Arabidopsis thaliana: one gene and its partners. The protein of the gene in region 4 interacts with the protein of the main gene of each other region in a pairwise test. Each region holds a gene or a part of one and is shown on either strand. Other genes may lie near its edges.

Region 1 (7,743 bases), on a different chromosome or scaffold from region 4:
TGGTTACATTTATAGACCTAATTGGGGTCTAAATTAGATTATCTTTGATAGGGCTGACGAAAAAACGGACCCGATAACCAACCTAATACCCAAACCAAAAAACTGGGTTAGGGCGGGTTAAAATTTTAGAAAATTTCCTTATTAGGTAGAGTTTTAGTAAACCCGTGGATATCCGATTGGTCTGGAAATTATCCGTTACCCAAAAAGAATATTCAAAAACTCAAACATTAATTTAATATCCAAAATATTAATTATATTTAATCGTAATATTATCTAATTATCTAAGATTATAAATATAAATCTAAATATGTCAATTAATTTTGGACCTAAATATCCCAAACAACTAAACTATTCAAAAATTATTTGTTATGTTTGTCAAAATTTAGTAAAATATATTCAAATATAATTAAATTTATTAAAACTTAACAAATTTAAAAGTTTTTTTTGTTTAGAGACCCGCTATCTACATAAAAATTTCCCGTTTCTATTTTTTTTGGATATTTTTAGGGTCTGAAACTTTTTCCAAACTGACCCAAACCCAACTGGATCTGACCGGAACCAGAACCGAATATTTAGAATTATTCTATTGGGTAGTAAATCATATACCCATTAATCCCAAACCCGAACTCGAATGGGTTACTCATATGCCCAACTCTATTCTGTGATTTAATTATCTAAAAACTCTCAAAAAAACATATGTTTTGCTGACTACCTTTTTAAAAAAAAAATTTACATCCTCTTCTTCCAAAATCATTTCATAAGACATCACAAAACCTTTGGAATAATAATTCCATGAATGAAGAATCCTAATTTGAATATACCAAGAGGTTTTGAAAGGTTTTAACTTTTTGATAGGTGTGTATGTGAGAAGGTACAGACATCGTGAAAGTAATCTGCTTATTTATAATTTCAACTTGTAGTATACCGCATGTAGGCTTATATTTTAGTTAAACTAAAAACTTTTATTGTAAAGATGATTATAAATATATGATATTATTTTATTTGATTTTAAATGTACAGTAAACTGCGAGTTGTATATATTTTGTTGATATTATTTATATTGTTTAGTGTTTAAAATTATACACTTGTATTTTGATTGTTAATTTTAGAGTTTCACCTGTAGTATACCATCTTGTAGTAATATCGATTTAAACCCGTCAATTCTAGGATTTTCCAGCTTGTATTAAAAATTGAATCACATCATACACATAAAAAAATCTAATATGTTATTAATTATTGTAGTATATAAGATTATAAAATTTTAAAATAATATGTATGAAATTGAATATAAATATTCAAATTGTGACTAAGTACTCAGTATAAAATTTTCTTAAATCTATTTTTGACCCGTTATAATATTTTTTTTATGTATTGAACAGTTTATATTCGTTTTTAAAAATTCAAATTATGGCATATGCGAAAAAACTCTAATTATTGTTTTATAACGATGATATTATTTTTTCGTAAAAATAGAATCATATAAAGATGAGAGGTGTACTATAAAATTAATAAAAAATTAATATGATAATTTGGATATCAAATCTAATTAGTTGATTTTAATTGGTTACTTTTTTAGAAATTAATAATGTATTTCGTTTTTTAATTAAATTTAATTAATTAAATTAGTATTTGACTTTTTAATTTTTAAAGAGATGAATTAATTTACTTTTAAAATTTTATTTCTAATGGCATACCTATGTAATTACTTACAAAAAATAAGGTTATATTTAAAATGTACTTCCCAAATAATATAGTAGGATTAAATGATTTCTTAATCTGTGTGTATTCTCCTAAAACATCATCTAAATAAAAACGGAGGGAGTATTACATAATTCTGTTCCTATCACATTTATCCTAATTTAATTATTTACTTTCTTGGTTATATATCATATCAGTTACTCACAACACCTAAAATCTCAATGGTATACACATTTTTCTACTCTTTGAATAACATTATATTTTCTTTATCTAATTTTACTTTTCTTTTTTACACCCCGAAACAAGTATTCGCTACGAAATTTATGGCGTTTTCTTTTCGAATTTTCGCCTTGAAATCTAGATCTTCCACCACCTGACAATACTACAAGCTGATTCCTAATGGGGAAAAATGTCAAAAAAATCACGAACTTTCAAATTTGGGATGATTTAATCTTGAACTTCACGTAAGACAAATAAATCGTAAAGTTTTTGTTGACTTTGGAAACAAATGACAAAGTTTTTGTTGACTTGCCATTTGAGTCATATCGTTAAATAGGTTAACAAAAATTTTTTACGGTGTTAATGTCTTATTTATTTGATCTGTTTGAACAAAACAACGTCGTTTATGGATACTAATGTCTTGTCTATTTCTTGCATTTTGTTTCTTTTTGGTTACGAAAAATGTAACTATTAAAATACTACTTTTTGATTAGCTTAGTTGCTCATAAGACTGAACATGAACTCTTAATCCACACACATACACATAGATTCAAGAAAACTGTGTTCAAACAAGAGCTCCATACACATGGGTATATATATATATGTACATCAGATTATCCCATCCCCGGTTTAAATCTGCTCGAGAATCAACCGCGATGCAACCTAATTCATAGTAAAAGTAGCTGTACACAACAAACACACTCAAACAAAAAACCTATACAGTGAAAAGCAGTCACCAAACATTAGAAGAAAGCTGATGGTCTTCTGGCACAACAACAAGAGGAGTCCTACACAATGGGCAAGTGATGTTCCAATAGTCTATCCATTTCTCCAAGCATGTTTTGTGAAACAAATGGCCGCACTTGAGCTTGTTGATCTCTGAATCCCCTTGGAATTTCGACAAACACACAGAACACTCATTGTCTGCCTGTTTCTTGCACCTGCACAAGCTCTCAAACCTCAGTGTCGGAGTCCGGTTCCTGAACTCCTCAAGGTAACTCTCTGGTTGGCAGACCCGGAAATCAAATGACTCTGAAGTTGATGAATTCTCTGAAGATACCGTCACCGAAGAAGGCGAGGATGAAGACGGCGAGAGACTGATTCCTACTATGCCAAGGAATGATCTTACAATGCCTTTGACAATGGAGATCGATAATGCTGTATTAACTAATATCACACATAACATTCCTTCTGATGGACCAGGAAGACTTGATAGACCCATCTTTCACTTGTTGGATTCGATATCAAATCTTTGTCGGTAGAAATGATGTTGTCTGAAAAACACCATTAAGGGCTATTAGCTCACAACATATGAAAACTTCAAGACATTCCAACCAAAGCACATAGATTTCAATGACAATCTATGATTAGTATGAGCAAGCAAGAGACTTGAAGGTCTCATATTATGATCCAGAAACAGAAATTAACTCTAAAGCTTAGCAAATCGAAACCAAAGCACAAAGCTTTAATTCAAATTAACACTAATCAGTATCAAAAGGATTCAAGAACAGATCTTTATTCAATTTCTACAACCATCAAACCAAAAGCTCAAGCCTTTGATTCGTACCAAACACAAAATCTGACTCTAAATCAAGAAACACAGATCAAAACCTCTAAAAGATGCAAACTTTATGAAACCAATTTGAAATCTCTTCACTCTGAATCAATTCTGGGGCTAAAAATTGGGGAAAAAAATCGAAACTTTAGTGAAAAGAGAGAAAAGTACGAACCTCTAGGGTCAAATATGAGAAGCGATCATCAACAATTTAGAAGAAAGATGCAAGTTTTTATTGGGTGTGAAAAGAACAAGTGATGATGGAATCTGAAAAAGTGTGTAGAGAGAGTTGGTTTTGATAAAAGAGGAGGTTCCAATTGTTGTTTAATATATAGCAAAGCAATTATCTTTTAACCAGAGAAGCTTAACTATGGTTAACTCTATTTCAGTCTTTCAGGTTTTTTTGATTAACCATGGTTACTTTATATCATCAATTGTACTTGCTTGCATTTTCTTATTTCATTTTGTTTATATTTATTACTTCATACACTGCCAAAATGATAATAATCCATGTTTCTTTAAGGAAAGATATTAATAAGTAGGGTCTTTTTATTGTTTATATATGTAATGCTTGGCACTATCTTTGTTTTTGTTTTTGTTTTTGTTTGTTTGTTAATGAGAATTTACTAGTGAATTTAATCCTTGTTTGCAACATATATATTTTTTTTTACTAACATTTGTTTATTTGATTAAAATAAAGTTACACTGCAACATTTTATGTTCTATTTACAGTGCAATATCACAATCCAAGTTTCTTTAAAGATACTCCTCTGTCTTTTTATAGTTGATGTTTAAGGATTCATTTATTTGTTTTTATTTCCAAACTAAAATTAATTTATTATCCATTTAATCGACCAATAGTAATACAATCTACAGGAAAAAAAAATACAATTTACAGAATAGAAACCTCTAAACCCAAAAAAGTATATTAATTAATTTTATATTGAAAGTTGAAAACATCATGTATTTTGTTCCTAAAACATCAAATATTTATCAAAACAATATTAGTGTTTTGTTATATTATGTGGTCAATGTAATCAAAAAATTATTCCTGTTCGGTAATTGTATTTCTGTACATAATATGCAATTTTTAAAGTCTATCATCAACGAAATAATATTTCGTGATATTTTTGGATATAATTACCCATATAGATTATATTCGATTTAAGGTATTTTATGTAAATATTCTTAGCATATGGTTGGCTTCAGGTATATTATGTTATTTATAGTTTGTAAATTTTCAGCTAAATTTTTTATTTAATATTTGAAAATATTTTACCTTTTGTTTTCGTATCCAATATATGTCTCAGTTTTTAAGCGAAAGTAAACTAAAAACCAATAAAATAGGGATTATATTTTTGCTTTAGTAGTCTATTTAAGTATCAAGTTATCAACTACGTACCATGAAAAAGGCCAATAAATAATATTGGAGATTTTAAAGACCAAAAACAAAAACATAGAAACACAAAATCAAATATAATTGTTTTTGTTAATTTTGGAAGTACAATAAGATTCAAACAAATTAAGAACCTAGTTAAGGAAAAAAATCGGAAACCATTACAGAGACTGTATTCTCTTTTAATATGAAAAAAATGAATGGAATAAAGATGAATGAAATATGGAAACTTACTGAATAATTTGATTTGATTCATTTGTATACAACACAACACAGAAAAACTTCTCTTTTAAATAAATCCATTTTCAGGTAATTAAAGGCTATTTCTTTTTATATTTTCAATGCAAAAAGGGAAATTTTAGCAAATTGCATATAAATATTTTGGTTTACCATATTAATCCATCTAACAAAAACTATCACTTGTACCCTAAGTATATATTTTTGTTGTTATCCTAGCTGAAGACTAATTTTACCAAACTTTTTGTTTTTAATATAAAGTCAATTTAAACACGGTGGATCTTGATGTAGTTGCTTAAGTTTAAGAAATTGAGATATTGTTTCAAAGATGGATGTGGATATATTTTTAATTTACTTGTAATGAAATAATTAGGGCTGCAAAAAAAACCCAGACCCAATATCGAAATCGATACCCGGATAAAAATAATCGGGTTGAAGCGGATTAGACGAATAGGAAGTTACCTTATTAGGTATGGTTTTGGTAAACCTGTGGATATCGGTTCGGGTCGGAGATTACTCGATACTCAAACATGGTACCGATAAACCCGATATAAGACATGTGTATTTATACGATATATAGATATAGTTTTAAACATTTATAGGGTTAACACTAGCTTACCTTTTGCATGCTTGATTGAATTACCCATTCATCAACTTCCATCAAGACTACAATCCTACTTCTCGTTTTAGTTCTATGTTTTTTATTTTTGGATAATCGAATTTATTGTTTTCATATTCATATTTCTCTACTCTTAACTCTAAGTATTAATCTTTATGACTTTGGATTAGATTTTGGATGTCAAGTTTAAAGTTCTATTATTATTTTTTTGTTGTTTTGTGCATGTAAATTGGTTTGAAAGTTTGGGTATTGGAGACACATTTTGGGATAATGGATAATTTTTACCAATTTAGACTTGAATCCGAGAGAATCCAGATTTTTGGGTATTTACAGTTTCTCAGACTTATTAGCCAAACCGATCCGAATCCAGATATATCCAAACTGAACCGGAACCGAATATTTACAATTATCTATTTAACCCGAACACAAACGGGTTACCCATATGTATGCCTAGCCCTAAAAATAATCTCGAGAAATTGTTAATCAAGTGGATATAGTATTTAAATTATTCCAAATTGACAATAGGTAAGATGGCTTCTGATTAAGGTAATGAGACGAGAAATTATGGTAAGGAATTAAGGATCGAGAACAAATCGTTCGGAAAACTAGATATATTCTAAGATTTTAATAAAGTAATACGGCTTCCTAATACATGCTCAAAAATTTTAAAACCCGTCAACCAATGTACAAAATTTATATACATTATATATTAATATATGGGCTTCTTAATAAAGTAGACACTTTTTTAAAAATAATTTGAGAAATAAGTAGTTTTTTTAGAAATTTGTGAAATAGACACTTTTCTACTTTTTGTGAGATAGAGTTTATGTGTAATAAGGTAAAAGACAAAAAATTTGTCAAATACCACTTTACCCTTTGCTTTATATGAGAAAGTTTTAGTGTGGTCCTAATTTTCCAGTATTTAAATATTTAGACTAACTATTATATTATAGTTATTTTCATCTTTCTTTTTTTAATTTTAATTTTATTAATATTTTTTAACTTCCAAAAACAAGATGATTTCTATATATTCAATTATCAATCTCGTACACCAGCATTAAACATAGTTTTGTACACTAACACTTATACATCAAATTATTTTATCCAACAATATTTATCCAATATATACTAAATCATTAAGTGCACCGACTTTGACTCATATTTATTAATTAAAGTAATGATTGTTCATAAATTTATATTAATATGATGGTGTACACCATCATGTACACCATTAAATTAACCATGATAGTGTATACCATTAAATGAAAGTAGTACTTTCTTACGTAGTGTACACTAACATTTGTACACTTTTATGTACACAAATCTCGTATACTATTATTTAAACTTTCTTTTGTACATTATCACTTGACAAAAATGGTTCTATTTTTTTGTATATGGGGTGTACAAAATAGGTGAAAGTGTACGGTATTGTGTACGGTGTACGAGGTGATGTATGGTATGACTCATTATCTCATCATTTCATATATACTATTAATATTATGTACACCATACTTTACATCATCTCCGTACACCATTGTATTATGTTGTTGTACACCGCTATATATTGTCGTTTGTACACCACTTTATACTTTGTCATATATCGTATTACGTATATTACTTTTTAGACCAATATTATTCATTTTTGACATACACTACTATTTGTACACCACTTTTTTATAATATCACGTACACCACGAGGTTGAGATTAAATAAAAGAAAATATTACATATTTATGATATATAACAAAATTAGAGTTTTTAGATTCACAGAAATCTTTTAAAGATTAATATGTTTTTATAGTAATTATTTAAGAAAAACTTTATAGCAAAACAAACTAAGTATGTGTAAGTAAAAACAAGAAAAAGAAAAAGTAAGTTTTGTCTTTACTTAATTACATGACAAAACAAGAGAATGTTATAAAGGTCATTTACCAAAATTTCTATTATAGAGAAAGTTGTATTAGAGAGGAAAGAGAGAAGTGTCTATTCTCTATATTTTTAAAAAAATCTACCTACTTTA
Region 2 (8,100 bases), on a different chromosome or scaffold from region 4:
AAGATAAGTCATTTTGAAAAGAGAATAATATGTACGACTGTAGTTTTCTTTATAGAGTCGTCTACGACTTTGTTAAAACTCGATTGGGAAAACAAGATTATAACAGCGGTTAAAAGTTTTGTAACTTTTATTGTAGTATACCCGATTTACCTAAACCAAAAGCTATGTGATCAACACTAGTAATCAAGTTTATAAGGTCAAAAGAACCTTTAAAGGGTGAAAAGAAAAGTTGATAAGTTAATAACTGATAAGCACTCCACTAATCATCTAATCGGACGGTGGAGATACATGGAAGAGTTGATTATTTAGAGGGTCAAGAACCGCTACTTAAGATACGTTTGATTGATTTCAATATTTTTTTAAAATAGAAAAGTAAAAGTGTTGAGCCGAAATTAGGATGCAAAGGTATATGCCATATCAACGTTAAATGGTAGAGATTTGTGGTTGTAATATTCCACTTATCATTGATGCACATGAAAATTGTAATTTGTTTTTTAATTACTTGTTGATGTGGTCCAAATTCTCGATCTTAATCATATAGTATGAACTAAAAGAAAGAACGATTGGAGAAAGTTGTACTGTTTATACATTGAACACAACAAGTGTTTTTATATACATATTGGACATACATAACTTAAAATTTTTTGTTTCAACAATGCAAGAATTTTGATCAACTGACTTTGTATGTAAATGCTAAAAAAATCTGAAGAAGATGGAGTTCCAAACTTGTGTTGGTTTGTGGGTAATTTCCAAAATACTACAACACTTTATATAAAGCTGCCAAACCAAATTTTCCCCAACCACCATCCGCTCTAATTCTGGCTTCACATCCCTATTAACCGGATAAAGTTATAAAGTCAACTGATTACAAAACAGAGTAGGTCTTCGCTTTTATACACCAGAGAGAGACCACTTAACTGAATTTAAAACGAGTTCTGGAAAAAATCTAGACTAATTCTTAGTAATTGTAATTGTTATGCGAAATTACATATTAAAGATGGCTAACTGAAGAAAAAACTGACATAAATTGAGTGACTTAAATATGTTGTAGCAACATAAAAGGAATATTAGTATAGAACAAACAACAAAAACATTTGAGTAAAATGCATATTTAGTGACATTAAGAGTAATGAAACCAGTAGAGATGTCGTAGGCAGTTGAGTAGCTTAATGAGGTTTAGGTCCACAGTATGGGCTTCTTCTGATATATTTTAATATAGTTTATGAGCACATTTCTCAATTCTATTTATTCAAAATTCCCTTAGAAAATAGTAGTAATTAATTTTAGTGACCCTATCTATATATATCTCTGTGTCAAGGCCGGCCCTTTTCTTCTCATTCTACTACACCCACAAGCCACACCTATTTATCATCATCACTCCTCCTAAAGCAAATAAATGAAAGAACAAAAAATGAAGAAGCTCAATATTATACTTACTTGTTGGTGTGTCATGTGTGCGTAGATATGATGTGGATTGTGTAAGAAACTAATGTGGCTACTGGGTCCTCTCATATGGGACCAAACTTCGTAGACTTTAGTATTTACATTCATAGAACCAAAACATTAGTCTCATTACAAAACATTTACCACTTATCCGTTAAGGCTATAGGCTACAAACAAAAGTTACCAGAATTGACCAAAGAATCTTACGAGATTTGTGATTTTGGTATATGCAATTATTCAAGTGTGGGAGTGAGTATATTAGATCTATGAAGGAGTTGAAGCCTTGGTCATCTTTAAGAGCATACGAGTGTGCAGAGGTCTTCTGTCCTGGCTTGTGAGATATTGGTGAAAGGAAATATCCTGAACTTTCCATTTGCCATGCACGTTAGTGTTAGCTGAGCATCACTCACCATTGCCTGTCGTATTCACATATAGTTTTTTACAATGTTGTAATCACTAATCAGACTCAGAATTTGCATATATATAGACTCAGATTCTAGTTTCAGGGTCACAACAAAGGTTATGGTTTAGATGAATATACCTCGCAGGAAGTAGTCATGTCGCTGCAGCTCCATTTTTTGGTTGGAACACAGTCAACATAGCGACACCAATGGCAATGACGGTTGAGATTGACTCCCCAGCATGCTGCTAATAGAACCCCGGCAAGTCTAAACAGAGATGGAAAGCTTTTTCATGTCACAAGAGCGTAGATAAAACAAAAAAAACTAGACCAAAAAGAGATTTGAGGTAAATTCTCACATTCCACAAAACACGAGCAGGCATATAATCCTTAATACCGGTCTGTCAAACTGTTCTTTAAGCCTTGTGGATCTGTTCATATCATCTTCAAACAATTTCCCCTTATGAGATGGAGGCATCTGTCTCAGTTGTGGTTTGAACAATAGCACAAATCCAAGGAGGAATCCTGATATGAAACCACCAATATTTGCAAAGTTGTCTATGAAAGGGAGAAAGCCTATCAGGAAATTCACAGTGAAGATAGTGAATATTATCGCCAAGGCTGAAATCTGTACCAAGCAAAAGAAAATACAATCAGAAAAGCTATGAGAAGAAGATAACAAGAGACAAAACAGAACCACAAGAAATCCTTGACCTTGCTGTTATATAGATTCCAGTTCTTTGCAAGTGCAGAAAGCATGGCTCCAATCAACCCAAAGAAAGCAGCACCAGAAGAGATTGATGGGATGTTCCGAACAAACAACACAGCAAACAGACTACCCATAATGCCAGAGAGGAAGTATATGACTGCAATCCTCACTACAAAACCAAAGCAAAAGCAGAAGAAAGGTGGATTAGAAAGGTGATAGATTCCATCCAAAACAGACTAATCAAAAGTCAAGTAGTCTAAATTACATGGTCCAAACTGTTGCTCCATGTATATCCCTACGAAAATCAAACTCCCAAGATTTATGAATAGATGAAATAATCCACTGTGCAGCCATGGAGATGTCAAAATACGCCAAATCTCATGATTCTCCGTCAGAGCTTTCCAAGAAAGACCTCCCATATGCTCTAACCTGCAAACTCACAAGAAAATAAGTAGTCCATAGCTTATAATCAGTCATTTGATAGCTCAAGTTACCCCTATTTCCCTTAATTTTCTGAAACATAGAGCTCTCACAAGAACCACCACTTGAATTAGATTGCTTCATCAACAGAATGTAGCACCAAGAGCCACACAAATAAACACACACACACACTAGAACAACACAGAATTGTAAACAAGAACTTGTCGGTTGTCACTGTAATCAGAGATTGAGACACTATGAATCAGCTGAAACTCATCAATCTTGGAAACTAGTATCATCCAAATCCAACAAACTTCAGCAACCTATCGTTACCGATCCAAAAGATGAGCAGAATGAAACATCCAAAATTACAGGTCTAAGCAACGAAGCATCCAAAATCCATCTCTAAAGGATCTAACAATTCAATTAGAGATCGATTCCAAAATCAGTTACAAGCAGAGACCAAAAGCGAAATCCGCCGGAGAGAGCTACTTACGTTGAGGCGGAGGGACCAAGCATAGGATTCTCGGAGAGAGACTGGAAAGAGAATCGGCCAAGGAGTTTAGCGGAGCAGTGACCGTGAGAGTTCCCGGAGCAATCGTTGACGCCCATAGTTACAGCGAAGAGGACGATCTGAAGAAGAACGAAGACGGAGACAAGCCAAGTGTCTCGTTTGATTTGCCGTGAACGGTGACGGAAGAATGAGATCTTGTCCCAGCTAGAATCGCCGGCGTTAGAAGTGGTAAACGAGAGATTGTGAGAGATTTCATCGATCTGCGTCGTCTTTGACTCTGTAGGAACCTCCATTGTTGAAGGTGAGCGAGAAATTAGGGGATGATGACGAATGGGTTGTTTTATACTTTGTAGAAATTGGCGGGAAAATGTTATTGGAGAGCAAACCGAACGCTAACCGTTTCACGATCCGGTTCGGAATTGATTTAGAGCGCGTGTACCGCTTACTATACACGTCATTATCATTTGTATTAAACTCAAATCAAAATTTTAAAAGATATAGCTGGATTAATTTTTTCAACGCATTTGATTCTGTATTTTATTTTTATTAAAAAAAGATTCAGTGAACATATAAAAAGATTAGTATCATTAAGCCATTATTAATTACTATTTTCAAGCAAAGAATGTATCGTGTTTGTGGAATGTACGCAAGGAATGATTCATGTATTCGTGACGGTTGGTTTTGGTTGGCGTCTAATATGACAAGTGATCATAAAAGCTTATGTTAATATATCATCATATAATCCAAATCATTTATAGTTAGTACTTAGTATGCTAAATATACGTTGCAAATTTATCGTATATAGTCAACCAAAAAGGTAAATTCAGATTTGTATAAATGTAAATGGAGAGATGACTGTATCTTGAGATTTCTGGTAGTTATTATATAAGTTGAGAAAGAGAGTAAGAGACCCAATTATTGTTATTTTCTAAATTTGGCTCTGCTCAAAGACAACGGAACTCTCTGCTTTTCTTCTTTCTAGAGATCTTTTCTTGAGGTAATAATTTAAAGATGGGAGATGAAGATTTAATAGAATTGAAGTTCAGACTCGCAGATGGTACCGACATTGGTCCAAGCAAATATAGTCAATTCATGACTGTTGCATCTCTCAAGGAGAAAATCATTGCTCAATGGCCTAAAGGTAAATCATTTTCTATGTTTCTTCTCAAAAGTTTTGCTATTTGTTTAAAGGTGAAGTTGAAAATCTTGTTGTGGACAGACAAAGAAAACGCACCAAAGATGATAAATGAGGTTAAGCTCATCAATGGTGGGAAGATACTTGAGAACAACAAAACACTTTCTGAAGCAAGGTCCTTAATAACTATTGGTGAACTTCCTGGAATTGTAACTACAATGCATGTTGTTCTTCGTCCTCCTCTCTTTGAGAAGAAAAAAGGTAATTTCTATACATTTTCTCTTCAATTCTTGAGTGTTTTTGTGTGTATTTTGTATATCTCAAAGCTTTGTTTTTATGTTTTCTTTTGTTTCTTCAGAGAAACTGCAGAATGATCCTCCAAGGAAGAGTCACTGTGTATGCTGCATTTTGTAGCTCCACTTAGAGATTTTTGATCCTTTATACAATTTATTCCATTGGAAAAAACTTTCCATATCTTAAAGTCTTCAACATGGATCTTCATTACCAGAATGATTTTGGTTTTTCTTCCTTCCTTTTCTTCTTCATTGTTTATCAAAAATGGCTTAAGAAAAATTACTGTGTTGTTGAAGATTGAGGTATTATGTAAAAATTTGTTCATATGAGTGAAAAGCAAATATGAGTTGCTTGAAAGGACCTGTTATAACACAAGAAGATAACTAGTTATATATAACTTTAGAGCACTACAATATTTACTTAGAGATGTATATCCATCCACATAGTAACAAATGCTCCAACTTTTATCTGTTGTGATCACTACATCTTCACACAAGCTTGAGCATTTCCTCAATTAGATTGTTTATGGCTCTATACTTCATCATCACAATGTTTGCTTCAAGAAAGAGCTGCAAGAGTTTCAGAAACTGAGTGATGATAAAATAATTACTGTGTTTTTCTTTAAGCATATTTATCTGGAAGCTTGGTCTGACTATACAGATCTACTAAATCAGCACATGCATTGTGGAAGGTTGTAGGGTAAGTTTTGATTAGAAAGGGACACCATTTTATGGCCTTAAGATGGAGAGTAGGTCCACTATCAGTTAATGGGTGAGGAAAATGATGGTATGACATGACAATATGATATAACATGAGTTGCTTTCAATCAACCTATATAGTACACTAAGATTATTATGGATGACTATATAGTACACTAAGTTTATTATGGATGACTAGTTCTGAAAATGACCCCTTTTTTGCTTTTGTCCTTCAAGTGCCTAATTCTCTGTTTTTTCCAGCCTAGTTAAACTAGTAACCACAAGTCAGTAAATCAACATGATGTAATCAAGAATTGGCTATGGCAAGTTCTCGAAACGATTGTATGCATTATGCAATCATATTCAAACCATAAATCCTACATCATATAGAAAACAAAATGATATATATGATCATGAGGAAGCAATGACTCAAACAGTGGTAACAAGATAGTGCTCGAGACAAATTGAATAGGGGCAACGTATGCACAACATGACACCACTCAACTTTCCCATAAACCTCATGGTCGTTGCGCCTCTCAGTCATAAAGAAATAGAGACAACTCTCGGAGGTACCTAAAAGCCGTCGGGTCTCGTAGAGCTCTGTGGAAGCGAGAAGAGAGCGGAATCTCTTGGAGACTAACGAGAGAGTTGGGTAGTACAATCTAGAGATGCGTGCTAAGCAATTCAAGAGTAGATCGTCTGGGAGATATGGTATACTAACCTTTTCAGCTTCAGATGTGCTACTCAACACAATCTTCTTCTTCTTCTTCCTCATCTTCACCGACGACTTGATCCTCTGGCAGTCACCGACCAACACAGTTCTTCTTCTCCGACAAATGCTTTTTTCTATTTCGCTAATCTCAACAATTTGGGTCAGTAAAATGCTATTGGGCTGGGCCTGTATTCTTTTCTTTTATTTAATTTAAATCGTAAGCCTTTTTACGAAAAAAAAAACAATTGGAGAAGAACGAGATTTCGGGGATTCTGATGGTTCTCAATGGGCCTTTTAACTGATTCAAGCCCACTCTCTTTTTTTTTTTTGGTGATTTCAAGCCCACTCTCTTAATTCACTTCCAAAGAGTTTTATTAAATTTAATATGTTACTAAAATTTTTTATATCATTTAAAAATTAATAGTTAATTCATTTGTAAAGGTAAAATTGAAATTTGTTTTTTGTTATGAAATTATGAGTACAAAAATAACTGTATTTTATTTCTTAGCTATTAAATCGCACACTTTAATTACTATATATATTTTTCTTTCAACCAAAAAGTAATTGGATATTAAACATCATAAAAAATAAACTATTTTTTTCCGGATTTTTTAGTTTTTTTTTTCTCTTTTTAAATATATAGAGAATATTAAATAGATTGTGAAATATGTTATATGGTACGAACGATGGGATAAGGATTCTCTTCTTTTGATCCTAAAGTTTGGTTTTCTTTTCTTTTTTCTCGTAGTTGCCTCTGCATCACGACGCCTTACGTGTTTAAACACCCACATTATATAACTTTAAAGAAATGGTCTACAATTATATAATCACTCTCTTTGTATACTAATCTAGTATAGTTAACGAATACTTGCATTAAAACTGGCTGTAGCTCATTCGAAAGTGGATTTTGGAACCTAATAAATGATGACATAACTAAAACGAATTAGATGACTATATATATTAACTCTATAAACACTGAGGATTAGTACTATTCAACTCAAGATCTTATATAAATAAAGTAGATTAGCACTATGATTAGAAGTGACCCCATGTTAGATATTTTTGTACTTTTAATTCAATCATAAACATGTACTATGCTTGTTAGAATTTAAATGTTGATGCAATAACGACAATAATACAAAGTAGTATTAAACTACCTTTTTGTCTATCAATGTTATGATTTGCGAAAATATTATAAATGCAAGTTGTTTAGTGTGTTGTTGCCTGATTCACTTGGACGATTATTTTTGACTTAAAAATGATTCTCTACTAATAGAATAAAACGTTGTAATTGTTATATATAGATCTTGGCGCAGCCAGGCAGCCTCCTCGAGTCCTCGTGTTATTCTACACTTAACTTTTATAGGCCAATATTATTCCCTCACCCTTTAATTTTATGTTTATATATACATTGAAGGAAGCTGGAGAGTACCTTCTATACTAATATAAACTAAGTTGTAATTTGCATAGTTTAAAGCGTTAATAACATACATTTTTCAACCGTCCATTGATCTTCAATCGATTTTCAAAGATGCCAAATTAATTCAAAAGCGTTAATAATATTTGTGTTACAAATTAAAAATGTTGTTTCTTATATTGATGTTTCCTTTTACTGTACTACGTTTTTTCCTACATCTACAGAAATATTTGCTTTATGTTGTTCTTATCGATAACAACTTACTTCGTTCCACATGATTTTTCACAAAAATCTCATCGTATTTTCGATGTGGAATTTGTAACACCAACAAAAGTATGTGGAAGTGTTTTGTGTTTTA
Region 3 (8,960 bases), 8.9 Mb from region 4:
AAGCAGATTTAAAGGTAAAACATTTGATTCCGAAGAAACTCTTGCAGTGTGTGCGTATCTGTATACAGCCTTTAACTACTACTATTGAAACTGGTATTGTCTAATCTAGGAGGCTAAGGATCCCCTTGAGAAGGCTGTTTTAGATGGTAGACAGTTAGCGTTGAAGGTGAACTTCTTTACTGCCAGCTTCTTTAACTTGGTCATTCAGAAAAATGATTACAATCCTCGGAAAATTTCGAACAATATCCTCCCTGTAAATTGCTCTTTTACATTTGTTTTCTATTTTTTCTCAGATCAGTGCAAATTCTGTCTACGGGTTTACGGGAGCCACTGTTGGGCAGTTACCATGCTTAGAAATATCCTCGAGTGTAACTAGCTATGGTATTTCTTTTGTGAAACTGCAACTTTTCTAGACACGTAGCCTTTTAGGTTCGTTCTGATGGATTTGTATCTTTTTGAAGGTCGTCAGATGATTGAACAAACAAAGAAACTTGTTGAAGACAAATTCACAACACTGGGAGGGTATCAATACAATGCAGAGGTACATGTTCATTGAATTATTCGTTGTATTGAAAAGACTTGAGTGAATCATTAAGTTTGCTCTTAGATTTCTCGAATTTGATGGACTATGATGTATTAGGTCATTTATGGAGACACGGATTCAGTCATGGTGCAATTTGGAGTATCGGATGTAGAAGCTGCGATGACCTTGGGGAGGGAAGCTGCAGAACACATTAGTGGAACTTTTATCAAAGTAAGTGATTTTCTAGGAGCATGTCTTAAACTTCTCCGGTTCTCCCTAATCCTTGGGGTAGAGGTGCAAGATTACGTGATTTCTTGAAAACAAAATATAACAGGCTGAATCGTTCTCTGTTTCTTGATTGTGTATGATGTCATAAAGCCCATCAAATTGGAGTTTGAAAAGGTCTATTTCCCATATCTTCTCATTAACAAGAAGAGGTATGCTGGTTTGCTATGGACAAATCCTCAACAGTTTGACAAAATGGACACCAAAGGTAAATCTTCGTGATTTTACAGCCTCTCTCTTATTCATTTCCTGACTAAATTTCAATATCACCGACTTTGGCAGGAATCGAGACAGTACGAAGGGATAATTGTTTACTGGTTAAGAACCTCGTGACTGAGAGTCTTAACAAAATACTTATTGATAGAGATGTTCCAGGGGCAGCTGAAAATGTCAAGAAAACCATTTCGGATCTTCTCATGAACCGTATTGACTTGTCACTTTTGGTGATTACTAAGGTAATATGTTTTACTTGATTTATTGTCCTGTGATGTTTGTATCGCCTGAAAGTGTATTTTAATGATTAAAGCCATCTGTTAAAACTAAAACAAGAATCAAATGGATAATGCTCCTGATGTGTTTCCTCAAATCATAGGGTCTAACGAAAACAGGAGATGATTATGAAGTTAAATCAGCTCATGGTGAACTTGCTGAACGCATGCGTAAGGTTTGTGGTACTCTTTATCTATTTTCGTCTATCATTTGCAGGATTAAGCATTTTCATTACATGTTAAGATAACTCTTGACCGTTTCCGTTCGTGAAGAAACATGTACAAATGTGTCTAGGGGAATTTTCGTTCCTTTACTCTAATTCCAGCATCTCATGGACACTCTCAAACTGAAAAATGGGAGTGCTAAACAATTAAATTTTAATTTTTGGCTTGTATAATATTTTAATATGGTTCTTTGGTCGTCTTTTTATAGCTGCACAAGTGCAGGGATTTTTCTTAAGTCATGCATAATTTTGCTGAATATATGAATTTTTTTTCCGGCTTTTTGGTGAATATATAATATCATACAAAGGTTGCTCTGAAACTTAGATCTGTTTTACGGTGTCTGATGATCTATCATGTGAATATGACAGTGTTTGCTTACATATGTGACAGAGGGATGCTGCTACAGCGCCAAATGTTGGAGATCGAGTACCGTATGTTATCATAAAAGCTGCTAAAGGTGCCAAGGTAGTTTTCATGTCAAGCTTGTGTTAGCTTTTCCATAAGATGTTAAGGTCATTCTCTTCTTCCGTGCTTATCTCATTTTGACGTCTGATAGGCTTATGAACGATCAGAAGATCCAATCTACGTGCTACAGAATAATATCCCTATAGACCCAAATTACTACTTGGAGAATCAGATTAGCAAGGTCAGTTCAACATGGCGTTTGTGTATAAGTTTATTCTATACTCTTTATTCTGGTGATTGTAGGTTAAAGGAGATGTTGTTTTCAGCCACTTCTTAGGATTTTTGAGCCAGTCCTGAAAAATGCTAGCAAGGAGCTTCTCCATGGAAGTCACACGAGGTCAATATCAATCACTACTCCTTCAAACAGCGGTATAATGAAGTTTGCTAAAAAACAACTGAGCTGTGTTGGCTGCAAAGTTCCGATCAGGTACTTTGTGGTCCCTTGCCTATGTATTATCTGTTTTCATATATGGGATCTGTTTATCAATATTCGCTTTTAACTTCAACCAGCAATGGAACACTATGCGCAAGTTGCAAGGGAAGAGAAGCCGAGTTATATTGCAAAAACGTGTCTCAAGGTATGCTGCCGTTTTTCCCTTTCCTATAGACTCTTTGATATATCTATAAAATTTGATACTTTCGTTGTGTTATTCAGTGGCTGAGCTTGAAGAGGTTTTTGGGAGGCTGTGGACACAGTGCCAGGAGTGTCAAGGCTCTCTTCATCAAGATGTCTTGTGCACCAGGTTTGCTTATATTTTTATCGATATCAATTTCTTTTAGAAATCTTTCAGCAGGTAAATAGGTTCTGATCCAATTTCCTTTCTGGATTTCTTATTGGTCTTTTACAGTCGAGATTGTCCAATATTTTACCGGAGAATGAAAGCACAAAAAGACATGGCTGTAGCCAGGCAACAACTCGACCGTTGGAGCTTCTAATAAGTATTTAAGGTTGTTTTTAGCTCTCTCTTTTTTCCATTGGTATCGTTGCTGTTACACTTTCCGCTTGATTTAGAACTTGTAGGTCTCTTTGGAATGTTATAAAAAGGACCTCTTCGGCTTATTTGTACGTAGCTGTTGATTAATACAAAAAGAGAACTCTTCTCGCATATCTCCTTGTTTCGGCAGGCTAAGAATTACATATGAACTACAACTCGAGATTTATGCTTTACAATTCTTCTGCTTGGACTGTACAATGTTCTACAGAAGTATAAACATGAAGCTCAAGTGCTTAACCATATAATTTGTCTCATCTCTAAGAATTTTTCCGAGTCAAGTGTACAGCCTTATCCTTGTTGTTATTGGTTGTCTGCATAGTGGGCATGTTGTGATAACAACTCCGCATTCCTTGCATGTCTTTATTTGAAATAAAAAGTATCGGAGATGTCACAAAATCGATCTAGAAGCAGTACAGTTCATAGAACAAGTAAGAGTATAATTGTTCCTTTGAAATTTTCACATACCGTGTGACCGCAGCTAAAAGCCATGTCCTTTGGATTCGTCAAGCAAATCGGGCATACCTTTTTGAAAAACAAAAGGAATGTAAATCTCAGTATCAGAGAAACTGAGTATACTCATTGACAAAAGAACAGAAACAAAGGCAGAAATAATAGAGTATTTACCGGCACTGTGGAAGGAGCGAGTCTGTCACTTTTCTCTGCAGTTTCTGTCATCTGATTTGGCACCGATCTAACAGCATTGTCACGCTCTATAACCTCTGGTGGTGGCGGGAGTGGCTTGTGGTGCTGATGGGAACTGCGCACTGGTTTTCTACTGTTCATAAGCACAATCAAAGGTTGGTTTAGTTGGCAAAGAATCTAATGCAATAAGACCATAAACAGTGAGTGATACAAGTAGTTTCCAACGGTAAATTTTTTATTGCATTTACTTGAGACTTAATGTAGCCTTGTATTGAAAAGGGATCTCCATGAGAGCTGCGAGTGCGAAAGCAGCCTCCTTCTTAGCCGCATCTTTGTGCTCTGACATTATCTTCGTGAAGTTTACAAACTGTGGAACAAAACACAGTTTTTCATGATTCATGTTTCAGGAACAAAACAGAGCTATTCAGGGTTTTATTATATTACCTGGAAGTTATCGAATTCACGGTGAGGAATATTGTCATCGAATTGTTTCATTGTGTCCCATGGTCCATCTCCTACTCCAACCAAGACTATCGACAATGGGTAATGGCTGGAAAATTTATATCAAACATCATTAGTATACATATGAAGTCTGATCATGAATATGAGCTTATTGAATAGTTTTACCTCGCTGCCATTATCGAGTTCATAGTAGCTTCTTCCTGTGGACTAAGTCGACCAAGCGGCACATCTGGATTTCTTGTGACCTGACCATCTGCGATAATGACGAGAACATGGTATTGCATATTGTTCTGCTCAACTATGTTGATGGCAGCATCAATAACCGGTGCAAACGAGGTAGGACCTGTGAGGGAAGAATACACTGATTAATCTTTACGATAAGAGAGAACAAAACTGCTCCATTTTTGAAAGTTCAAAAATACCGGACAACTTCAAATGTGGGACAATCTCTCTATATCTTTTAACTGCGTTTTCCAATCCGTCGCAGCTTTTGTTCTCGGGATAAAAGCTGAATACATATTGATCTCGCGTTGTTACTGCAGGAAGAAGAAAACATAAAACCATTAAGAACTTTGGTTTATCTTATTCATTCATCTTGAAAGCAAGAAATAAGAAACTAACCATCGCCAAAACCGAAACAAGGTATAAGATCATCTTCATCAAAGGGAGACAAAGTACGACCAATAATCGATATTGCTTTCTCATATGGATTCTGTCTTTTACCAATGGCATGAAGGCTTTTTCTATTGAATGAATATCTCCCTGCAATGAAAATTCAGAACATTAACCAAAACCATTGAATCTTTTCGTAAACATGTGTAGCATTTTTTATCAAATCAAATAATTACCTGTCCACTCATTGCTCTTGGTAAAGTCAATTCCTAGAATCAGATTTGAAGATTCAAGTCCAGCTTCTCTCAGAGAAGTTATCACCTAAAAAGCAAAGTTCACAAGAAATTCATCACTATGAAAGAGACTAAAATCAAGAAATAACTAAGTAAGTTTATGAGACCTGATCCAAACTGCTGAAATGATCAGCAATATACGAAGGTTGCTGATTACGTTTATTGCTCATGTTCATTGAAAAAACCCTGCAGCACAAGAACCTTCAGAAATCCAATCTTTGGAGAAGAAACCAATCAAAATCAAGAATAAAAGATACAGTTACACAAGTGGCAAGTATATATCAACCTGGAGTTTGTTGAAAACACAAAAGACTTCTCGGAATCTTTCTTGTAAGAAAAAACTTTTGTTGGAGATTATCTTCTGTAGGAAGATTAAATTATTAAAAAGATGGCACAAAAGAGAAATATGAACATATAAAAATACTTTAGCAGAAAAAAATGAACATATAAAACTATAGAAAGTGGGTTTTGTTGAATCTTGAAAGTTAGTGGAACGTGACCCTTTGCTTGCGCCGGCAAATAATCAAAACGTATTTTGCTCTCTCACACGCCATCATCAATCTAGAAATCTTTTTTAGTCTTGTCTCTGCGTCATTAATGATTTATCCATAACCCAAAATCATAGACCAAATTTCAACATGATTCATGTGGACAACGTGGCAAAGCTGTAGCTCTTGTCTGAAGAAAATTATTTGGGCTTTTGATTCCCTCAAAATATATTAACCCAGAACCGTTTTTATTGGGCTTCTTCATTCATCAAGAAGCCTTTTTGTATCTTCACCACCTATAAATTCACTTATGTTTCAACCACAACATCCACGTGCGATTAGCCCAAAACTCAACAACCAATCTACGAAGATCACTAAAGTTTTTTATTTTTATGATTTTCACCGTTTGTACTTGTTCTTTCAATTGGTGCCACATGGACCCCTAAACCAACAGAGCAAATATGGCCTTTCTTGATCTAAAATAAAGTTTAGGGTTTAAGTTCAGAGAATAAATAAGTACACTGGTGTAAATGGGAAATTCAAAAAAGTAATAATAATTGTCTCTGCAATCAGAAAATGTGAAGACATATATTTATCTTCTTGAAAAGCGAATGATGTCTATAAATTGTTTTCGAACAGCGAAGGCTCCGCTTCAATCATTTGTAGCAGTAAGAACGAATTCGAGACCTAGAAATTCATCGAACCGTCTCGTTTCTGTATTCGGACGCAAGTCTTCTTCTCCTTCATTTGTTACTCTCAGAGTTGTTTCATCGATGGCTTACGAGAAAGAGCTTGATGCTGCTAAGAAAGCTGCTTCACTCGCTGCTCGTCTCTGTCAGGTTAGGGTTTTTTCGATTCAATCATGACCCATAGATTCTAAAGTTTGATTCTTTAAGAAACCCATTTTGTAAATCTTCCAAATTTCGTTTAACATTTTGTGTTTATTGTGCATTGCATCTGTAATTGGGAATAGATTCTAGTGATATAGTGTAATGGTCCTCTACATACGAAGCTCGTGTAAATCTTTGATCAAAATCTTATCTTTGTGTTTTGGGTTTGTTTCAGAAAGTTCAAAAGGCTTTGTTGCAATCAGATGTGCAATCAAAATCTGATAAAAGTCCAGTGACCGTTGCTGATTATGGTTAGTTTGTTATACCTGTCCCTGATTAGAAAAAGCTCTTCTCTTTGAATGTTACTGAGATTGTTAGGAAATCACTTAATTTGATCTGTCTTGTGTTGAATTTCAGGTTCACAAGCAGTTGTTAGTTTAGTCTTAGAAAAAGAGCTCAGTTCTGAACCCTTTTCATTGGTGGCTGAAGAGGTGAAACTGCTTAATAAATCCTTGTTAGATGTCTCACACTTTACTTATCTTTGAGTTTGTGTTTATGGACTCACATTGTCTAAAATGATCTATATAGGACTCAGGCGATCTACGCAAGGATGGTTCTCAGGATACTCTGGAGCGCATCACAAAACTCGTGAACGACACTTTGGCTACCGAGGAATCGTTTAATGGCTCTACTTTGTCTACTGATGATCTACTTAGAGCCATTGACTGTGGAACATCTGAAGGTGGTCCAAATGGTCGACACTGGGTCTTGGATCCAATTGATGGCACTAAAGGGTACGTTTTAAAACTAACTAGCCTAAAGTCAAATCTTCTTATTTCAGAGAAAATGTAAATTTGATAGAATGTTGAGTCAGATGTTATGTTCCTGACACTGAGCATTTTCATGATTTTAGATTTCTGAGGGGAGATCAATACGCAGTAGCACTAGGATTGCTCGAGGAAGGGAAAGTAGTTTTAGGTGTGCTTGCTTGTCCAAACTTGCCGTTAGCATCCATAGCAGGAAACAACAAGAACAAATCTTCGTCAGACGAAATTGGATGCCTCTTCTTTGCTACAATTGGTTCAGGGACATATATGCAGCTCCTAGATTCAAAATCTTCTCCTGTAAAAGTGCAAGTCTCTAGTGTTGAGAATCCTGAAGAGGCATCGTTCTTCGAGTCATTCGAAGGAGCTCACTCTCTACATGACTTATCCAGCTCCATTGCCAATGTAAATTGCTTCTTTCCTTCCATGTGATTCCAGCTAATAGCTAACTAATTTTCCTCATCCATTTGATCATGTTCTATGTTGTAATATACAGAAACTCGGTGTCAAAGCTCCACCAGTCCGTATTGATAGCCAAGCAAAGTATGGAGCTTTATCAAGAGGAGATGGAGCTATATACTTACGGTTTCCTCATAAAGGATACCGCGAAAAGATTTGGGACCATGTCGCTGGTGCTATAGTTGTTACAGGTAACATTAAAGCTTACTCTCTATGAAGCTAATTTTATAGTGTCGACATGCGGATGTAAATAGATAAGGAATGCAAGGTTGATTCTTCTTTTTGGTGCAGAGGCGGGTGGAATAGTGACAGATGCAGCAGGAAAGCCACTGGATTTCTCGAAAGGGAAGTATCTTGATTTGGACACAGGCATTATCGTTGCTAACGAGAAGCTAATGCCTCTGCTTTTGAAAGCAGTTCGTGACTCCATAGCTGAGCAAGAGAAAGCTTCAGCTCTCTGATTTGTTTTTTTCTCTCGTACGTTCTTTGTTTCTCTGTAACTGTTGTTTCATTTTCTTTCACCGAATTTCACCAGTGAGAATTTCTTCCATTTTCGAAAAAGAAATAAAAATGAAATTCTGTTTTGGGCTAAGTATAAAGGGTTATGTAGAGAATTTAATATGGACCAGTAACGGGCCGTAAAAAGGCCTTTTAAGGGTTACATGCATGATGCACCGACGTACGTGTCTACAGTGCGTAGATACTTTATCTTAATACGAAAGTAAGCGCGTTAAGTAGAAAATCTCTTCATATAGAAATAATTAATATGGTGTAAATAGTTTTTTTTTTTCTTTGGTTATAGTATAACTAAAATATTATTGTGTACCATCTTACAAAAAAATATATATTATTGTGCAACTTTTAGAAATTCGTGATTTTATTCCCAATAATATCCCATTCACGATGAAAGGAATCGTTGAGACTTTGTAAATAATTAAATGTAGTCTAGTGATCTAGTCAAACTTTATAAAGGGGCGATCACAAATCTACTAGTCGCACAATTTTTTTTAATCTTTTCATGTGAATAATATATACTAGCTGCTTTGTTTTTAATCCATGTTACAAAGATATTTTGTGTTAATAATGATAAGTTGTTGATATAACACACAATAACCTGTTTTCAGCGAAAGATTTGACAAGACCTGGCCACACAAAAGGTACACACGTCATTTACAATATCTATAAAAGCAATTTGCAATATAATTTAATTAAGATTAGCATACCTCTAATTATTAATTTAGTAAGCTAGTATAAAAGAAGAGGGAAAAAGGAAGAAGAAGCATATAACCTCTTTGGAATAAAAGCATATCAGAAAAGACTAAACAAATACAACGAACCCAAAATAATTTAATTAGAAAGTTGAGAATCA
Region 4 (8,121 bases):
CGTGAGTTTACTAAACTTCTCTACATCAAAATGAGTTGTCCTGCAATGAACCAACCAAGACATAATCTTAGAAATTTTATCTTACTGTCCGGCAATTGAAAAATTCAGATTTCTAAACAAAGATTACTATAAACGAATGTCAGAATCTTATGAACCTGAATCTCTTTAGAACCAATTCTATCTTTGGAGTTTTTCTCCAATATCAAGGATCTCATTCAACTTTTTATTCTACTTATGTCCTCAGTTCTGAGAACAGTCATCATAAGTCTAAAGTCTCGCTCGATTTATTACCGTTAGCGAAGGTAAAGATCGAAGTTTGTGACCCAAGTCATGGGATTTTGCTTTGTGTTGATCCTAAGTGCGATGGAAGAACAACGTATATTGTTCGAGTGGGATGTATTGAAATTAACCTTTATTGTATGCTATTTATGATATGGTAAAAATAGATTTGAATATTTTCGGTGTTTTATTGATGAATTTGTGTATACTAGGATTTTGTGATCAGTAAAGTTTAGTTTTACAATATTATTTTTTGTAAAAGATTGAAGTGTAATCATTTAGATTTTAGAATTTTGGGGAAAGAAAAACAGTACTTAAATGAAATATCAAAGATGATTGTGGAGAAAAACCGGTTTAGTACACCCTATAACCAAGAACCGTTTGTATCCGGTTTAACATCCACCAACTTCTTTTGCCGCTTCTCATAAATTCGAATTAGCCCCTAAAACTTACTAGTTATAAGCAGAGCCGTTGTGCGGTGGCTCTTTTTTCACGAGCCGTTGTGCGGTGGGCTCTGTTGTCACTGGCCGGGCAACTAATGTATCATACGACTTCGAGGAGGGAACATTTTTGGAACTGCGAAAGCTTCTTGCCAACGGAGACTCCCGGAAGCGGATTAAAATCAGCAGCGTAAACTCCAAGAAAACTCTCTGTGTTGTAGAATTTATTTACATACTGCAAGTGATCAATGTTCAGCCTCCTGAAAACCGCTATCACGTGCGAACACGGATATCTGTAAAGTTGCCATATCCCACATGTGCAAGCCCGATCGCTGCGATGAACAAAGAATTTCATGTTTCCAACTTGCATCACTTCCGTGACCTGAAACCTCTGTCCAGACTGGTCTAATGGCAGGACATCGTGTGTTATAGACTCTTCAAGCTTTGTCATGACATGTTTAGCATAGACCTCTCTTCTGTTTTTCATTGATTCCTGGAGAAGACCATGTCGCAGTTTGAAAAGCTCTGCCAGGTGATCAAAGATTAGCAAGATACAAGTTGCCTAAGACAGAATTAGACAAATGCCTTCCCTCTGCGTTACTTTCTTTCTGATGCACGAAAAGAACCAACGCCAAGTATCAGCTGACAAATCTTCTTGGGTAGTAATGGCAAACGCAAGTGGGAAAAGGCTGTTTTCGGCATCTAATCCCGCTGCAACCAACAATTTTCCAGGGTATTTACCACTCAAGTCTACTGTATCTACTAAAATGAGAGGTCTGCAGTGAGGAAACCCTTCAACTGACTGCTGAAACGCCCAAAACACAGAACGAAAGGATGCATTTTTGGGATCAGGAAAAAGATCATATTGCCATTCCAAAAGCATCTTGTTAGATGAGCCAAGGGCAGCCATGAACTTGGGCAATACGCTAAAACTCTTGTCCAAATCTCCCAAGATTGCAGAGATCGCTTCCTTTTTAGCCTTCCACATATTAGCATACGAGACTGTGTAGCCAAATGCTTCTTTCACCCAATTGTTCAGCTCTACAATTGAGAGCGAGGGCTGAACCTTTACTAGACATTCAATTTCACCTGCCAGGAAATCTGAGCCCACATCTGCTGGCTTACAAGCATGTGGACCTGTGTATTCTGTTATCTTGAAGCCATTTCCATTCGTTTTAGCTGCCTTGAGAAACCATCTACAGTAGTTCTTGCACCCTGATTGAAAGGTACCCGTAATGGGGATTTCGAATACATTGTATTCACGTTGCCTTCTATTAGAGTACAACTTCACTGCTTTCGCCAGCTCATCTTTACCTCTAAAAATCATCCCAACATGCAACTCACTTTCATCGAGCCATGAACTAGAGAAAATCAACTGCTTCGAGACACTATCACTGACGCCTTCCGTTAGAGTTGGCTTTTTCATTTTCGAATCCTTCTGTGCGACCCCATTATCACCAGAGTTTCCGACATCCGTACTCTCCTCATCTTCAATCCAACCATTATGGTTATCCTCCGGAGGACTTCCTAGTTTAGTATTTCTCCCACTCACATTTACATCTGCATTGACACTACTAGCATCCTCTTGCCGATAACGCTTTCGGGGCACATTACTTTCCAATGGGGACTGATGAGATATAGAAACAGTAACTTCATCAGAAAACGGTTTGATCTCTAAATACACCTCCAGACTGTTGATAGATGGATGGTAGCATGGTACCTCAAGCATCATCTCCAAACTACAATCGTCCACAATGGGCAAACGCACATACTTGACCATCTGTTGTTGAACAATGGAAGGGTACCTACCAATCAAATCAATCTGAAACTTTCCCTTTTCAAAACCAGTAAGTCGATGCAGATCATCCAACAAATTGGATAGTTCGATTTTGCTATCAACTCTGATCCCTCTTGGACTTGACCCTTCATAGAACGGACCATCAGGACCATCTTTAATACAACCATTCCAATAGCAGAACAACGGAATCTTTCTTGTATCCATGAACACCACAAAACCTTCAAATAGAAATAAACCCTAAAGATTAGGTTTTTTTTTGTTGTTGATGCAAAATGCGACATATATGAACTGTGAGTGAGGTTAAAGACTACAAATTTGTACTTAGCACTGTGAAAAATGGTCACTTTGCAGAAGAGAGTTTTTGTAATTTTACCTTTTCTTCCGCCGCCGGCTTCGGTGACTTCGTCGGCAAAAGACAACAGTTTGGTAAAATGGTCTGTTCTTTTTTTTCTCGTAGTTAACGACGGTGTGTCTACGAGATAGTGATTATAAGCTACATATTTGTGGTAAAATAAAATATTGGGAAAGAAAACAAGTCAATGAATATTCCTGACAAAGAAAAAATGAAATGAACAACAACACAATGTTTCTCATCACTCACTAGTAAATAAACTTTAACAAATAACCTTCAAGCTTTAGAATTCCATCTTCAAATTTCAGATAAAGATGATGATAATAAAACCCATAAACATATATAGTACAGACGAAAAAGTTGATATTTTAGACATTTTTATTAAAGTTAAAACAAGAAGAAGAAAGAAACAGACATGAAAACATAAACAGGTGCTGAAGCATACGAATCTTTGTTTAGCCCATGGCATACTTCTGAGTCCAGTTTCTTGCAGTAGCCTCGTATTTGGCTCTGTCGGTTTTGTACATGTGTGCAATCTCTGGTACCAAAGGGTCATCTGGATTTGGATCTGTTAACAGCGAACATATCGAGAGCAACACCTACCAATTGCATAAACATTTCCATTAAAACAGCTAAAAACTAGAGATGATGATCTTACTACATACACAAACATTCAAGAAGCAAAGCTTGTGCATTGAGCAAAATCCTAGCTGAAAATGTAGATGCTCTTGCTATACTTTTGGAACATAAACGAACATTGGAGAACCGATGTTTCTGAAAAATGAGAGTCACCTTGGAAATGGTGAGGGCAGGGCTCCATTGTTCTTTCAAAATGTCAAGGCAAATGCTTCCGTTGCTGTTGATATTAGGGTGAAACACCTTCGTCCTAAATGCAACCTGCAAATAAAAACAAAACAACCAATAAAAGTGTCAAGATTAAGCCAAGAAATTGATTTGATTTGGGGGCAAATACAAGTTTTAATTAGGTCCAAGAATTTCAAGGAACTCTACTAAACCTAAAGTTCGTGGTAATCTAAGAGTTGTTCCAATATTGAATACCTTTGGTGGTTTGAATGGATAGTCCGGAGGGAAGTGAATGGTAACGAGAAACACACCGCCTGAATACGGACTCTCTGCAGGACCCATAATTGTAGCTTGCCAATGAAACATGTCTTCAGCAACTGGACCTGCAAAAACTAAAACATAAGCAAAAAAAACACCACAAACCAAAGAAGGATTCTAGTATTCTACATTTCTCAACTCTTCTAACTCTGATTAGTCTAATAATTAGAGAAAAGTAGAAACTAATAAACTGAAATTCATCATAAAATCTTAAGATAAACATAAGCCAAAACATAAGTAGACAACACCACAACGCAAAGAAGGATTCTACATTTCTCAACTCTGATCAGTCTGAAAAGTAACTTTCACCTTTGTGATCTCTAGAATGCTAAATCTCTGGCATATTACCAGATAATCATAGATAAAGTAATGGATCCAACAAGAAGGAGAAAGATTTGAGATTTTTGAAGTGAACCTGCACTGCAGGAGGTTGGAGGGTCTTTCTGGAGATCCTTCAGCTCCTTCAAGATCCGTTTCGAAGCCATTTTCTCACTGAGAAACCCCTACAAAAAGTAATCCAAGTTAAACCTAGATCAATCCAGCTCAAATCCAGAAACTTTTTCTAATCTGATTGAATCGAACAAGAAGAGACGAGCTTTTTGAATTCCTACAAAAGAAGAGAGCTTTTTCTCGTGTGGGTTAATCAAAAGGAGAAAGCTTTGATACCTCAGAAAGAATCCTCCAAATTTGGTTTTGCGATTCACTCCTGCAGATGATTGGAAGAAAGCAAAACGAAAGAGAAAGTTTTGGTTTTTATGCTTTAAGAAACGGAAGCGAATAATTTAATTGGATAAACTATGATTTATTTTAGTAATAATGGCTGCTTAAGAAATATCTGTAAACATTATAATTTTAAAATACTATCTAATTTTTTTAAGAAATTATAAAGGGTGGGCTATATTTGATTTGACCCCACTTAGATTCCAAATGATTCTGAATCACGATGAATTTTCAATTGTAAAATTGTCCTCTTTGGTACATATTTGATATTTCTCTATTTCTATAGCCAAGTGTAGAGATATGAACGGCTGATTATATTTTTGTAAAAAATAAAAAATGAAACCAGATAACCAATCATAATTAATGAAATTTTATCTAGTTTTTGTGACATGATTATTTTAAATCTCTATCTCAAACTAATGTTTTATGATTCTAATTTATCCATACTAATTACATTTTATCAATAGAATGTAAATTTTATTTTGGAAAAAAAAGAAGTAAAATATCTTTAAATTTTGTAATCTCACAATAGTTGAATGTCATATTATGCGAGTCATCATGTTGTCATAGTGGGATTTGTATTACTGCAAATATCTAATGAACAATAATCAACGAATTAGTTATGGACTAATGAAAAGATAGGATATGCATTAAGATAAACTGGATTTGGTGAAAATTTAATAAGATAACTGGGTTTGGTGAGAGTGCGAGACTATTTGGCTCGGTTCAGTTTTATTCCAATTTCAAAAATTCCAATTTGGCTCGGTATAGTTCGGTTTATATCAGTTTCTATATTTCAATTTGGGTCGGTATAGTTCGGTTTATGTATTCATTCTTTTTGAGATGCGCAACAAGCTCTCACCGTTTCTCCTCCGCCGCTACCACAATTTGCCGTGGCCATGGGAATTCTCAGATGAGAACAATGAGAGCATTAATCGAAAGAGTCTCTCGTCTTACTCTGTGATCAATCTCTCGAATTCTCCTTACCGATAGATGGAGACGGTGTTTGCTTTTTGGGTTGTTTTCCGGTGATCGCATCTTCAATCAGTGGTGGTAATGGAATGGAGAAAGTTTCATCACGGAGATATGCTTATCTGGAAACTCTTACTCATGAGATTAAGATGAAGTTTACACGGGTTTGCCTTTCTTTTTAGTATTTTTTTCGCAAAAGATCGATTTGTGTCGATTGGTTTTGATTTTGCCCAGAAAACACTATTTGATTTCTCTAATTCGAGACACATGCGTTAGGTTATCGAATTTTGATATCCTCAATGAATACTTTTGTTTCAATTTTGAATCGTTACGGTTTCCGATTAAAATCATCTTTATCATGCAATCCACAGGTTGAGATTGTACCTGGTCTCTTGCTTTTTAATCGGAAACTATGAATTATGAATTCCAGAACAAACACACTGGGCTGATTTGGAGGTAGACGAAAAAGAAGAAGCATGTTGGGCCTTGGGCCTCTTAAGCAGGTACAATGAAAGCCCAGCCCAGCCCAAACCAAAACATTTCCTTTGATTGTTTTCTATAAATAAAACGTAGCTTAGGGTTATTTACTTTACAACGTATTGCTTGCGCTCAACGGACTCTTCCCGGAAAGAAGACATAAACCCCTTTAAACCTCCTGCTTTCATCTTCTCCGTGATGGTCAAATCTAACTCCCAGGGTTTGTTTTTTTGGTGGTTTATGATCTCTTATCTAATGTTGTTTTATACCAACTTACTTGGTTCTAAGAAGTTTTTGCTACTCTTCCTTTAGGTAAGCGTAACCCGCAATATGGTTTGGAGGCCAACCCAATTCTCAAGAGACATAAGAAAATAAACAAGAAGAAGGTAAACCTCATATGTTCGGATTCCTCTTCTTCTTTCAGACCAATTTTCTTTACTCTGCCTTTTTCTAATTGCGGCTACTCATGTAACAACAGGTGACAACGAAAGCTATTGCTTTTAGTCTCCAGCAGAACGACTTGTTGGTGACAAAGTCTGATCAGGCTAATTTAATCTCAGTCAAGGTTTAATTTTTGATCATTATAATGTTGGACTGTTTGTTACATGTATTGTACAAGTTTTATGTTCAATTAAGCTACTTTTTTTCGGTTTGTTATGCAATTTAAGACTTGCCTGTTAATAATCAGGAAGCTGCAGTAAGAGAGAAGACGCTCTTTGTTGCCAATCTCCCTTATGAAACTAAAATACCAAATATGTAAGTAGTACCTTTAATTTCCTCTGTTCTCGGATCCAGTTTTTCATGACTAATCATCTACTTTTGCAGCATCGATTTCTTCAAAAAGGTTGGAGAAGTTGTTCGTGTTCAACTTATTGTAAACCTCAAGGGTAAGCTTGTGGGTTGTGGCTTTGTTGAGTTTGCTTCTGTTAATGAAGCAGAGGAGGTGAGGGTTTTTTATAGTAATGATGAAAAATTGTACGAGTAGTTATTTGAAAGTAGGATTGCTGATTAAATCTTTTTTGTTGTAGGCGCTGCAAAAGAAGAACGGTGAATGTTTAGACAATAATAAGATTTTTCTTGATGTGGCTAATAAGAAAGCTACATACCTTCCACCCAAGTAAATTGATTTATGTAACACTGGTTTTAACTCATTGCTAGAGTTTTGATGCCATTACAGTAAAGACTAACGCCAATATTATTTTTTTGCTAATTAGGTATTGCATAGATCACAAGGTTTGGTAAGGGATTATACTATTTGCCTTTTGAGCACATTAGGTGAAGTTTTTGGTATACGTGGAGAGATCACAAGGGTTTTTGATATTCCAGGGACAAAGACTACCGTAGACTAGAAAGCCATCCAATAGAAGAAGATGAGAGACCTCCTAATTCTGTTGAGGTACCTGTTCTTATTACCTTCAAAATAAGTCATGCTTAATAACAGAACTGTTGCCACAAAGTCGAAAGATGACTTATTTGGGAATGAGTCTTCAGATGAGGCTACTTTTTGTTGTTATGCAATGAAAATCTTTTTCTCCTTACAAATCGTGCTAACACACTTGGTTGTTAAATTCAGGAAGTACTCTTTGTTGCCAATCTTTCTCCTCAAACTAAAATATCAGATATGTAAGTACTACTTTTAATTTCCACTTTCGTTCTCGGGGCAAGTCTTTTCATGACTGATATTCTACCCTCCACTTTTACAGCTTCGATTTCTTCAATTGTGTTGGAGAAGTTGTAAGTATTCGACTTATGGTAAACCATGAAGGTAAGCATGTGGGTTATGGCTTTGTTGAGTTTGCTTCTGCTGACGAAACAAAAAAGGTGAGAGTAGTTTTGTAGTAATGATGAAAATTGTATTAAAAGTAATTTGAAAAGTAGAGTATAGTTATTTGAAAATACGATAGCTGATTAAATCTTTATACGATAGGCACTGGAGAACAAGAATGGTGAATATTTGCACG

Evidence for each region.
Region 1: the proteins of UBC8 (region 4) and XERICO interact in a two-hybrid assay, tested with the Arabidopsis thaliana proteins (one study listed by BioGRID).
Region 2: the proteins of UBC8 (region 4) and MUB5 interact in a two-hybrid assay, tested with the Arabidopsis thaliana proteins (one study listed by BioGRID).
Region 3: the proteins of UBC8 (region 4) and RGLG3 interact in a two-hybrid assay, tested with the Arabidopsis thaliana proteins (one study listed by BioGRID).

What each region holds. Positions count from the first base shown.
Region 1 is NC_003071.7:1,459,166-1,466,908, forward strand, and holds XERICO (RING/U-box superfamily protein), read right to left. Parts: upstream 3,780-7,743; 5' UTR 3,648-3,779; exon of another isoform or gene 3,192-3,647; 5' UTR 3,140-3,191; coding exon 2,651-3,139; 3' UTR 2,383-2,650; downstream 1-2,382. UniProt on the Arabidopsis thaliana protein: Function on abscisic acid homeostasis at post-translational level, probably through ubiquitin/proteasome-dependent substrate-specific degradation.
Region 2 is NC_003070.9:29,280,680-29,288,779, forward strand, and holds MUB5 (membrane-anchored ubiquitin-fold protein 5 precursor), read left to right. Parts: upstream 1-4,283; 5' UTR 4,284-4,497; coding exon 4,498-4,627; intron 4,628-4,705; coding exon 4,706-4,882; intron 4,883-4,979; coding exon 4,980-5,035; 3' UTR 5,036-5,403; coding exon of another isoform or gene 5,404-5,484; 3' UTR 5,485-5,661; downstream 5,662-8,100. Other genes in the region: KOM (Rhomboid-related intramembrane serine protease family protein), read right to left, coding at 1,737-1,859, 1,985-2,111, 2,203-2,471, 2,558-2,721, 2,818-2,981, 3,469-3,779; AT1G77880 (Galactose oxidase/kelch repeat superfamily protein), read right to left, coding at 5,996-6,388. UniProt on the Arabidopsis thaliana protein: May serve as docking site to facilitate the association of other proteins to the plasma membrane.
Region 3 is NC_003076.8:25,603,751-25,612,710, forward strand, and holds RGLG3 (Copine (Calcium-dependent phospholipid-binding protein) family), read right to left. Parts: upstream 5,557-8,960; 5' UTR 5,277-5,556; intron 5,238-5,276; exon of another isoform or gene 5,177-5,237; 5' UTR 5,167-5,176; coding exon 5,098-5,166; intron 5,019-5,097; coding exon 4,934-5,018; intron 4,848-4,933; coding exon 4,707-4,847; intron 4,622-4,706; coding exon 4,508-4,621; intron 4,429-4,507; coding exon 4,251-4,428; intron 4,174-4,250; coding exon 4,068-4,173; intron 3,991-4,067; coding exon 3,872-3,990; intron 3,757-3,871; coding exon 3,606-3,756; intron 3,504-3,605; coding exon 3,447-3,503; intron 3,340-3,446; coding exon 3,256-3,339; 3' UTR 3,021-3,255; downstream 1-3,020. Other genes in the region: AT5G63960 (DNA polymerase delta subunit 1), read left to right, coding at 1-14, 110-166, 294-381, 462-541, 641-754, 902-1,016, 1,091-1,263, 1,401-1,472 and 6 more; SAL1 phosphatase-like protein, read left to right, coding at 6,252-6,317, 6,544-6,619, 6,726-6,799, 6,897-7,102, 7,222-7,537, 7,629-7,782, 7,883-8,052. UniProt on the Arabidopsis thaliana protein: Possesses E3 ubiquitin-protein ligase in vitro.
Region 4 is NC_003076.8:16,672,427-16,680,547, reverse strand, and holds UBC8 (ubiquitin conjugating enzyme 8), read right to left. Parts: upstream 4,707-8,121; 5' UTR 4,658-4,706; exon of another isoform or gene 4,495-4,657; 5' UTR 4,477-4,494; coding exon 4,413-4,476; coding exon of another isoform or gene 4,407-4,412; intron 4,066-4,406; coding exon 3,929-4,065; intron 3,767-3,928; coding exon 3,662-3,766; coding exon of another isoform or gene 3,527-3,661; exon of another isoform or gene 3,469-3,526; coding exon 3,325-3,468; 3' UTR 3,039-3,324; downstream 1-3,038. Other genes in the region: AT5G41690 (RNA-binding (RRM/RBD/RNP motifs) family protein), read left to right, coding at 6,359-6,380, 6,473-6,546, 6,639-6,725, 6,849-6,916, 6,986-7,103, 7,189-7,277, 7,375-7,398, 7,487-7,556 and 3 more. UniProt on the Arabidopsis thaliana protein: Accepts the ubiquitin from the E1 complex and catalyzes its covalent attachment to other proteins. Mediates the selective degradation of short-lived and abnormal proteins.